2 linked regions of the Macaca fascicularis genome follow. The protein of the gene in region 2 interacts with the protein of the main gene of each other region in a biochemical or structural test. Links are inferred from orthologs where the notes say so. Each region holds a gene or a part of one and is shown on either strand. Other genes may lie near its edges.

Region 1 (4,350 bases), about 13 Mb from region 2:
ACTAGGCAATCTTATTGGATGAATCGCCCCACCGCCCATCATGTCCTTTTTGTTTGTTATCTGCAGGGATAAATTGTCTAAAATTCTAGTTCATCCAGTCCCAAAGAACAAGGTACATAACAAAGCATCTACGGATTTTTTTAATGTAAATTCCGATTCAGTAAGTTTGCGTGGGACTTGAAATTCTGCATTCCTGACAGTCTTGAAAGTTATCAGTGCTGGTGAACACTCACTAAACCACCAGAAACGTTGACTGCCTCATGTCGGAAACTACTTACATTCAGAGAATGAGAATTCCATGCTATTTTGTTACTGGTCAACAGCCAGTTTCCTTATCCTTCGTTTTCTAAGTCCAAGTCACATTCCCACCCTGACTGTTCTCAAACTGTCTTATTTTGGTTGGCTTTAGTTTCACTTTGTATACTCTAAAATGTAGTTTCTTAAAGAAGATATTTCCTCGAAACTTAATTTTTAAACACCATTAGGCTAGGGGGGCCGTGGCTCACGCCTGTAATCCCAGCATTTTGGGAGGGCAAGATGGGAGGATCACTTGAGGCCAGGAGTTCAAGACAACCCTAGCTAAAATGGTGAAAACCCCGTCTCGAATAAAAATACAAAAATTGGCTAGGCGTGGTAGCAGACGCCTGTAATCCCAGGTACAAAGGAGGCTGAGGCATGAGAACCTGGTGAAGCCGCGGGGTGGAGGTTGCAGTGAGCCGATATCGCGCGGCGGCATTCCAGCTTGGGTGACAGAGCGAAACTCTGTCTCAAACCAATCCAAACCAAAACCAAAAGGTACCCGAAACACAAGCAAGTTACCATCCTTTCTTGTGAAACAATGGACGGTTCTGAAAAATGCCGTAGCAAGTTTAAGGTACGTTTTCTGGCTTGAGTGGGCTTTACTTGCTTTTGGCCTTATCGTGGTTCTCGGTTATTTTTGCAACAGGACGGCCTGAATATTGGCCAGGACGCCTCCCTGAGTAATAGTGACTTTGCCCAGCAGCTTGTTGAGCTGCTCGTCGTTGCGGAAGGCCAGCTGCAAGTGGCGGGGGATGCTATGGGTCTTGTCACGTATGGCGCTGCGTGTCAGCTCCAGGATATCGGCGGCCAGGTATTCTAAGTACAGCGGCGCGCCGGCTTCGACAGGCTCAGAATAATTGCCCTTTCGAAAAAGACGATGGACCCTGCGCTACTAGAAACTGCAAGGCTGGTACCGATGAACAACTTTGTGCTTTACTTCCGTTTTCCATGTCCAAACACAGCGACCTCTGAAAACTGTAAAAAACAAGCAAGATGGAATGGCGCCTGAAGAAATACTTTTATACAAACTGCAAGGCTGCAATAGAGAGTTATCCTATTGGTCAATTATGTTTCCTGCTTTATCCAATAGAAAAAGAGTCCATAAATTCCATATTTGCATAAACCCCACCCCTCAGTGAAACTGTATTTCTTTTATCCAATCAGAAGTGAGGAATCTTAAACCGTCATTTGAATCTCAGGACTATAAATACGTGGGCTCTGAACTGTTCTCTCTACTACTCTGCTGGAGAGTGTTAGTAGCTTTTTTGTTTTGTTTTAGGAATAGCGATGCCTGAACCCTCTAAGTCTGCTCCTGCCCCTAAAAAGGGCTCTAAGAAGGCCATCACTAAGGCGCAGAAGAAGGATGGTAAGAAGCGTAAGCGCAGCCGAAAGGAGAGCTATTCCATCTATGTGTACAAGGTTCTGAAGCAGGTCCACCCCGACACCGGCATCTCCTCCAAGGCCATGGGGATCATGAACTCCTTTGTCAATGACATCTTCGAGCGCATCGCGGGCGAAGCTTCCCGCCTGGCGCACTACAACAAGCGCTCGACCATCACCTCCAGGGAGATCCAGACGGCTGTGCGCCTGCTGCTGCCCGGGGAACTGGCTAAGCATGCTGTGTCCGAGGGCACCAAGGCTGTTACCAAGTACACTAGCTCCAAGTAAGTGCTTATGTAAGCACCTCCAAACCCAAAGGCTCTTTTCAGAGCCACCTACTTTGTCGCAAAGAGAGCTATAACCACAATTTCTTAAGGTGGTGCTGCCTCTGTTCTGCTTCAGTTCTAGAGGATCAACTAGAATGTTAGCGAAGGCAACTTTTAGAGCCAAGGTTAACTTGGGGCAGCGCGCCGTGGCTGTCGCCTTTAATCCCAGCATTTTGGGAGGCCGAGGCGGGCGGATCACTTGACGTCAGGAGTTCGAGACTAGCCCGGCCAACATGGTCTCTATTAAAAATACAAACGTTAGGAGGGTGCTGGCGCTCTTTCTCATCTGCCTTTAGCAAACTTCTTTGTTCCCCCTGGGTAAGCCTTCGGGTACTAGTTGTAATTCATTTGATATGGTCACTACTCCCTCCCTGGTCTAGCACAGGAAACTTTCCTTTCTGGATAATGAAACAAGTAATGCAATTCAGGGTACAGTGTTTCTATGGGGGTCATTAGCCGTTAACCGCTTGAGATGAGGGGGAGGGGAGCAGAAAAGTCTAAGCGACAAAAGGGCGTGTAGGGATATTTGCTCCTGCAGTTTGCCTATGCTGTAAATTCTTACCTCCAGTAAGAAGGAAAGATTTCCTCCAGTATTGAGGAAACAGTAAGCGAAGTCTGATTTCCCGGGCGCCTTTGTAGGGAATATTTCCCGTTCCACAAAATGAAATCGCAGTAGTTTTGCGTTATAATTGTTTATCAATGACAACAGCTATGTAGTTTACATATTTCATGCATCCCAGAAATCCAGATTCCCATTTCCTAGGCCACTTAAAATTCGGATTTCCAGCTCTGCGAGATACAAAAGGGTTTGAATTTTGTGCCTTTCCCCAACTGGCCCTACTGCAAAGATACTAGGAAGGCCCCACTTGGAGAGGGAAGCATTTTTCAAGAAATCCGGGACGCCAAAAACAATATAGCTAGAAAAAGGCAGGAAGGGTACTAGTTGAGGAGGACTTAATGGGCCAATTCTTGGTCTGGGGCTGGGGGAAGAAATGGAAGAAGAAAAGAACCTGTTGATTGCACACTAAGTAGGAGGGGATGGGGGAATCGGAGGGGAGTATTTTAAGTGAACTTACGGGCATTATATGTAGGTGACATTCAGCAGTGTCTTCGGATGAAGAAATAAAGTTTCTCAAACAGTTATTGTTTCTGTTTTGAGAAATGGTCTTGCTCTGTTGGCCAGGTGCCATCATAGCTCACTGCAGCCTCGACTTCTCCAGCTCAAGCTATCCTCTAACTTCAGCCCCTTGAGTACCTGGGACTACAGAAATGCGCCACCACACCCAGTTAATTTTTTAATTTTTTGTGGAGGCAAAGGGTCTTACTATCTTGCCCAGGCTGGTCAAGTGAACTCCTGGGCTCAAGTGATCCTCCCGCCTTGGCCTCCCAAAGTGCTGAGATCGTAGGAATGAGTCACCGCGCCCGGCCCAGATTTAATTTTTAAGAATATTTTAAAAGAGGTTCTGGGCCGGGTGTGGTGCAGCTCACGCCTGTAATACCAGCACTTTGGGAGGCCAAGGTGGGAGGATCACTTGAGCCTAGGAGCTCAAGACCAGTCTGGGCAACTTAGTGAGTCTGTCTCCACCAAAAATTTAAAAATTAACCAGGCCTGGTGGCACATTTCTGTAGTCCCAACTACTGGGGAGGTTGAAGTGGGAGGATCATTTGAGCCTGGAAGGTGGAGGTTGCAGTAAGCTGTGATGACACCACTGCACTCCAGCCTGGGTGAGGACAGACCCTGTCTCAAAAATAAAAAAAAAATCTGGATGCCACACAAAATGTCAGTGAACAACTGTAAGTGAAGCACTTCCCATCCTAGTACTGTATATGCAAACTACCGTTGTGAAAGAGACGCTTGTGTTTTAAAAAATCTATAATTTTTTTTAAAATTATAAAACGACCACCTCCCCCAAAACATTACTAAGCAATTGAGGCTGCAGTTTAAGAAACTGATATTTAGGATCTTTCCCCGGAGAAGTGAGACCTGCTAATATAAGCATTTGCAAAATGAACTTTTGGGCCAGGTGCATCATGCCTGTAATCTCAGCACTTTGGGAGACTTAGTCAGGCAGACCACTTGAGCTCACAATTCGAGACCAGCCTGGGCAACATGGCGAAATCCAGTCTCTACAAAAAATTAGCTGGGCGTTGTGGCATATGCCTATAGTTCCAGTTACTAGAGAGGCTGAGGTGGGAGGATTACTTGAGCCTGGGAGGTAGAGGTTGCAGCAAGCCAAGATCGCGCCGTGACAACCTGAGTGACAGAATGAGACACACCCCCCCAAAAAAACAGCCTGACTCATTAAAAAAAAAATTTAAAAATATTAAGTTTTGAAGCAGATAT
Region 2 (3,746 bases):
CCTGTCATCTCCATTTAGCATCCCTTAGCTCTCCCAGCTGCACATGATATTCCTTTGCATTTATAGGCTATGCCATTTAATCCCACATTTACTTATTTGTGCCCTTGTGTTGTCTTTTCCACAGTCAGCTGCTGAAAGTTTTCATGTCTTTTCACTCAATATATTTACCTTGCATGACATTGAGCATAGAATTGAAATGATTGTTGATGAATCAGTTGAACCAAGGCATAGTAATAGTAGTGAACACTTATGTAACACGATGCCCAGGCACTGTCTAAATAATTGCCATATGTTATCTCATTAAATCCGCACAGACACCATAAGGGGAGACTTATTTTCCTCCATTTTATTGATGCAGTAACTGGACCATAAAGAGGTCAAGAAACCCGGCCAAAATCACCCAGCTGCTAAGTGATAGAGCCACATTACAAACCCAGGCAGTCTCACTCCAGGATCTGTGCTCTTAACCTCGATACTATGACTTCTTTAAAACCATAAAAGTTTATTTTATTTTATTTATTTTGGAGACAGAGTCTCGCCCTGTCACCCAGACTGGAGTGCAGTGACACAATCTCGGCTCACAGCAACCTCCGCCTCCTGGGTTCTAGCAATTCTAATGCCTTGGCCTCCCAAGTAGCTGGGATTACAGGCATCTACCACCACACCTGGCTAATTTTTGTATTTTTAGTAGAGAGGGGGTTTCACTGTGTTGGCCAGGGTGGTCTTGAACTCCTGGCCTCAAGTAATCCACACACCTCGGCCTCTCAAAGTGCTGAGATTACAGATGTAAGCCACCACTCCCAGACAGTAAATATTTATTAAGCATTTATTCTATGTGAGTCATTGTGCTAAGTGATTCACATGCATTATCTTATTCATTCCTCACAGAAACAGTATGAGGTAGGTACTGTACTATCCCTATTCTGCAGACAAAACAGGCATGGAGAGGTTAAGTGAATTGTCAAATGCCATGCGGACTATGAACCCGCATCTGAGTCCAGAGCTCCAGCTCTTAACCATTATCCTGTATTGCCCATATATCCCTGTTGGTATTAATTGGCTCAGATCCTATCTGCCATTTGACCCCAGTACCGGATTTAGTACTCTCTTTTTTTTTTATTTATGTGTGCGTGCTTGTTTACCAGTGTGTTAAGGAACCACATCCAGAGATAGCATTTGAACCTACTTCATGGACCTCATCCTTAACTACTGCTTTCTTCACTAATAATATTTTTTCTAGTTTTGGGACGTTGCTCCAGTTTAGGTCAATAGGAGCTAGCCAATTTCAGTTTCCTTTAATGCTATTCCATGTGTTTGAGTAAATTATCCACCAATAATAAGGTGATTCCTGCCTGTTAATATGGCAGTTCTCTGTGGACGCATGAATGTGAAATATAGGTAAAAAGCCAAAGCACTGCTTAACGAATGCTGTTTCTAGGGATGGTAGTTTATGAACCTTTCTTTTCTATTTGTTATCAAGAGTTTTCCTTCTGAAAAGGCAGAAGGTTTTACAGCAGCAGGAGAGAGGTTCCATTAAGAAGACGAAAATCACGAAGCTTATTTCTTCTGTCTTTCACTTTCCCCAGAGTCTAAATGGTGTTTGGCTGAACAGAGCACGTCTGGAACCTTTAAGGGTCTATTCCATTCATCAGGGAGACTACATCCAACTTGGAGTGCCTCTGGAAAATAAGGAGAATGCAGAGTATGAATATGAAGTTACTGAAGAAGACTGGGAGACAATATATCCTTGTCTTTCCCCAAAGAATGACCAGATGATAGAAAAAAATAAGGAATTGAGAACTAAAAGGAAATTCAGTTTGGATCAATTAGGAGGTCCTGGAGCTGAAGGCCCCTCAAATTTGAAATCCAAAATAAATAAAGTGTCTTGTGAATCTAGTCAGTCAGTGAAATCACAGGGGAAAGGTGAAGTGGCCAGTACACCCTCTGAAAATTTGGATCCTAAGTTGACTGCCCTTGAGCCAAGTACGAAGACCACAGGGGCTCCCATTTACCCTGGCTTCCCCATAGTCACAGAGGTTCATCATGAGCAGAAAGCCTCAAACTCTTCAGCATCTCAGAGAAGCTTACAGATGTTTAAGGTGACCATGTCCAGGATTCTGAGGCTGAAAATACAGATGCAAGAAAAACATGAAGCCGTTATGAATGTGAAAAAGCAGACCCAAAAGGGGAACTCAAAGAAAATTGTGCGAATGGAGCAGGAACTGCAGGACTTACAGTCCCAGCTGTGTGCAGAGCAGGCGCAGCAGCAGGCAAGAGTGGAGCAACTAGAGAAGACTTTCCAGGAAGAGGAACAGCATCTTCAGGTACCACACAGAAGGGAAGGGCAAGAGTGGTCTTCAGGAGTGGGGCGGGCACTTCATGAGCCTCTGGCCAGAGTTCTCAGTTTCTGGGCCAGGTACCAAATTCTGAGCACCAAAGACAAGAAATGGAATGGGAACAGTAAACTTTTGAGATCAGGGAAGGGAACTGAGTAGAGGGTTAAGGCGTCAGCATGCTGATGAGATCAAGAGCCAGAGATGGGGTGCCAAGATAGGGTAAAGTGACCAGCAGAGCCAGCCAGGACATAACTCATCTCAGGATGCAAAGCTGAGGCAACTCAGAACCAACATGAATTCAGGGGGAAGTTAGGTGAAGGTCAAGATGCCGCAAAACCACAGTATAGTCCAATTAAATCATTAGTTGTCTTCAAGACTTACGTATCTTTGCTCTGTGGCCAAGGCCAAATCACTTAGTCCCAGGGCAGGTACAGGTCAGCTGGTTCCTCTGCCCTTGTACCTGACAGTTTGTTAGCTATAAAGGTTAGTTAACTCTGTAGCTAACCCAGGAGGTGAGAGGCTAAAAAGGCAGAAAATGTTTTTGTTTCTGTTTTGAGCAGCCAGCATGTGATGGGACAGATGCACCATGACTGCATTGTTGGGTTGAATGATAAACCACCTTCCACAGTGCTTATAGTAGGAAGGTAAAATAATGACTATCTTAGCTTTGTAAAGGTAAGACCAAATGTGTTTCCATCCCTGAGTCATTTGCTTCAATGACAAACTCTTGCACAAAGCTTTAGGCTAGAGCAGATCCTGTCCTTGCTCAAAATGTCATTTCCTATCTGGCAGGAACCACACATTTTACTCCCACCCAGTTGCTCAGATAATATTGAATGTCAAGAATTCCCTATTGTTGACTTAGAACTCACACGGACCAGTCACAACTAAAGTGAATAAACTTTTTTGTTTGGGTTGGTCAGGGTAAGGAACAACCAGAGGTAGTGTTGGCTTATTTCTGAGCAATTTATAAATTTCATTCTAATCTCTGCCATCCCCTTGAACTGGTAGTATTAGCAAAAGCCATGGATTAAATAGGTCTTTTGAGAGTATACACTGCTTCCTTACATGTACCTTTTTGCTTCCCTTATCCAGCCTAGACTAGTTCTTGAAATTAGTAGAGGGTGGTTTATGTCTACGTGTTTAGTATATCACACCTTCACTAGGACAGAACTCTCTGTAAAGGCTAATATGTTCACGAACAAGTTACTGTTGATTAATATTTGTGGCTGCTCTGGACATGCCTCAAGGTATAGCTGCAAAATCTTTTTTTTGAACCAAAATGTTAAAGGCAAAAGGATCAGTTTGGATAATTTCTCTGGGTATGAGTAGGTCGTGTACATATTGCTCATAGTGAAGTGTATCTAGTCCCTTGTTTATCAGCTGCATCTCCCTCTGCCCACCAAGCCC

Evidence for each region. The genes of interacting proteins can lie anywhere in the genome.
Region 1: of the proteins of RNF8 (region 2) and histone H2B type 1-B, one has a biochemical effect on the other in vitro, tested with the Homo sapiens proteins (2 studies listed by BioGRID). The link is inferred for Macaca fascicularis from reciprocal best matches to the Homo sapiens genes RNF8 and H2BC3.

What each region holds. Positions count from the first base shown.
Region 1 is NC_088378.1:146,884,573-146,888,922, forward strand, and holds the start of histone H2B type 1-B, read left to right. Parts: upstream 1-1,534; 5' UTR 1,535-1,587; coding exon 1,588-1,964; intron 1,965-4,350. UniProt on the Homo sapiens protein: Core component of nucleosome. Nucleosomes wrap and compact DNA into chromatin, limiting DNA accessibility to the cellular machineries which require DNA as a template.
Region 2 is NC_088378.1:134,283,839-134,287,584, reverse strand, and holds part of RNF8 (E3 ubiquitin-protein ligase RNF8), read left to right. Parts: intron 1-1,586; coding exon 1,587-2,324; intron 2,325-3,746. UniProt on the Homo sapiens protein: E3 ubiquitin-protein ligase that plays a key role in DNA damage signaling via 2 distinct roles: by mediating the 'Lys-63'-linked ubiquitination of histones H2A and H2AX and promoting the recruitment of DNA repair proteins at double-strand breaks (DSBs) sites, and by catalyzing 'Lys-48'-linked ubiquitination to remove target proteins from DNA damage sites.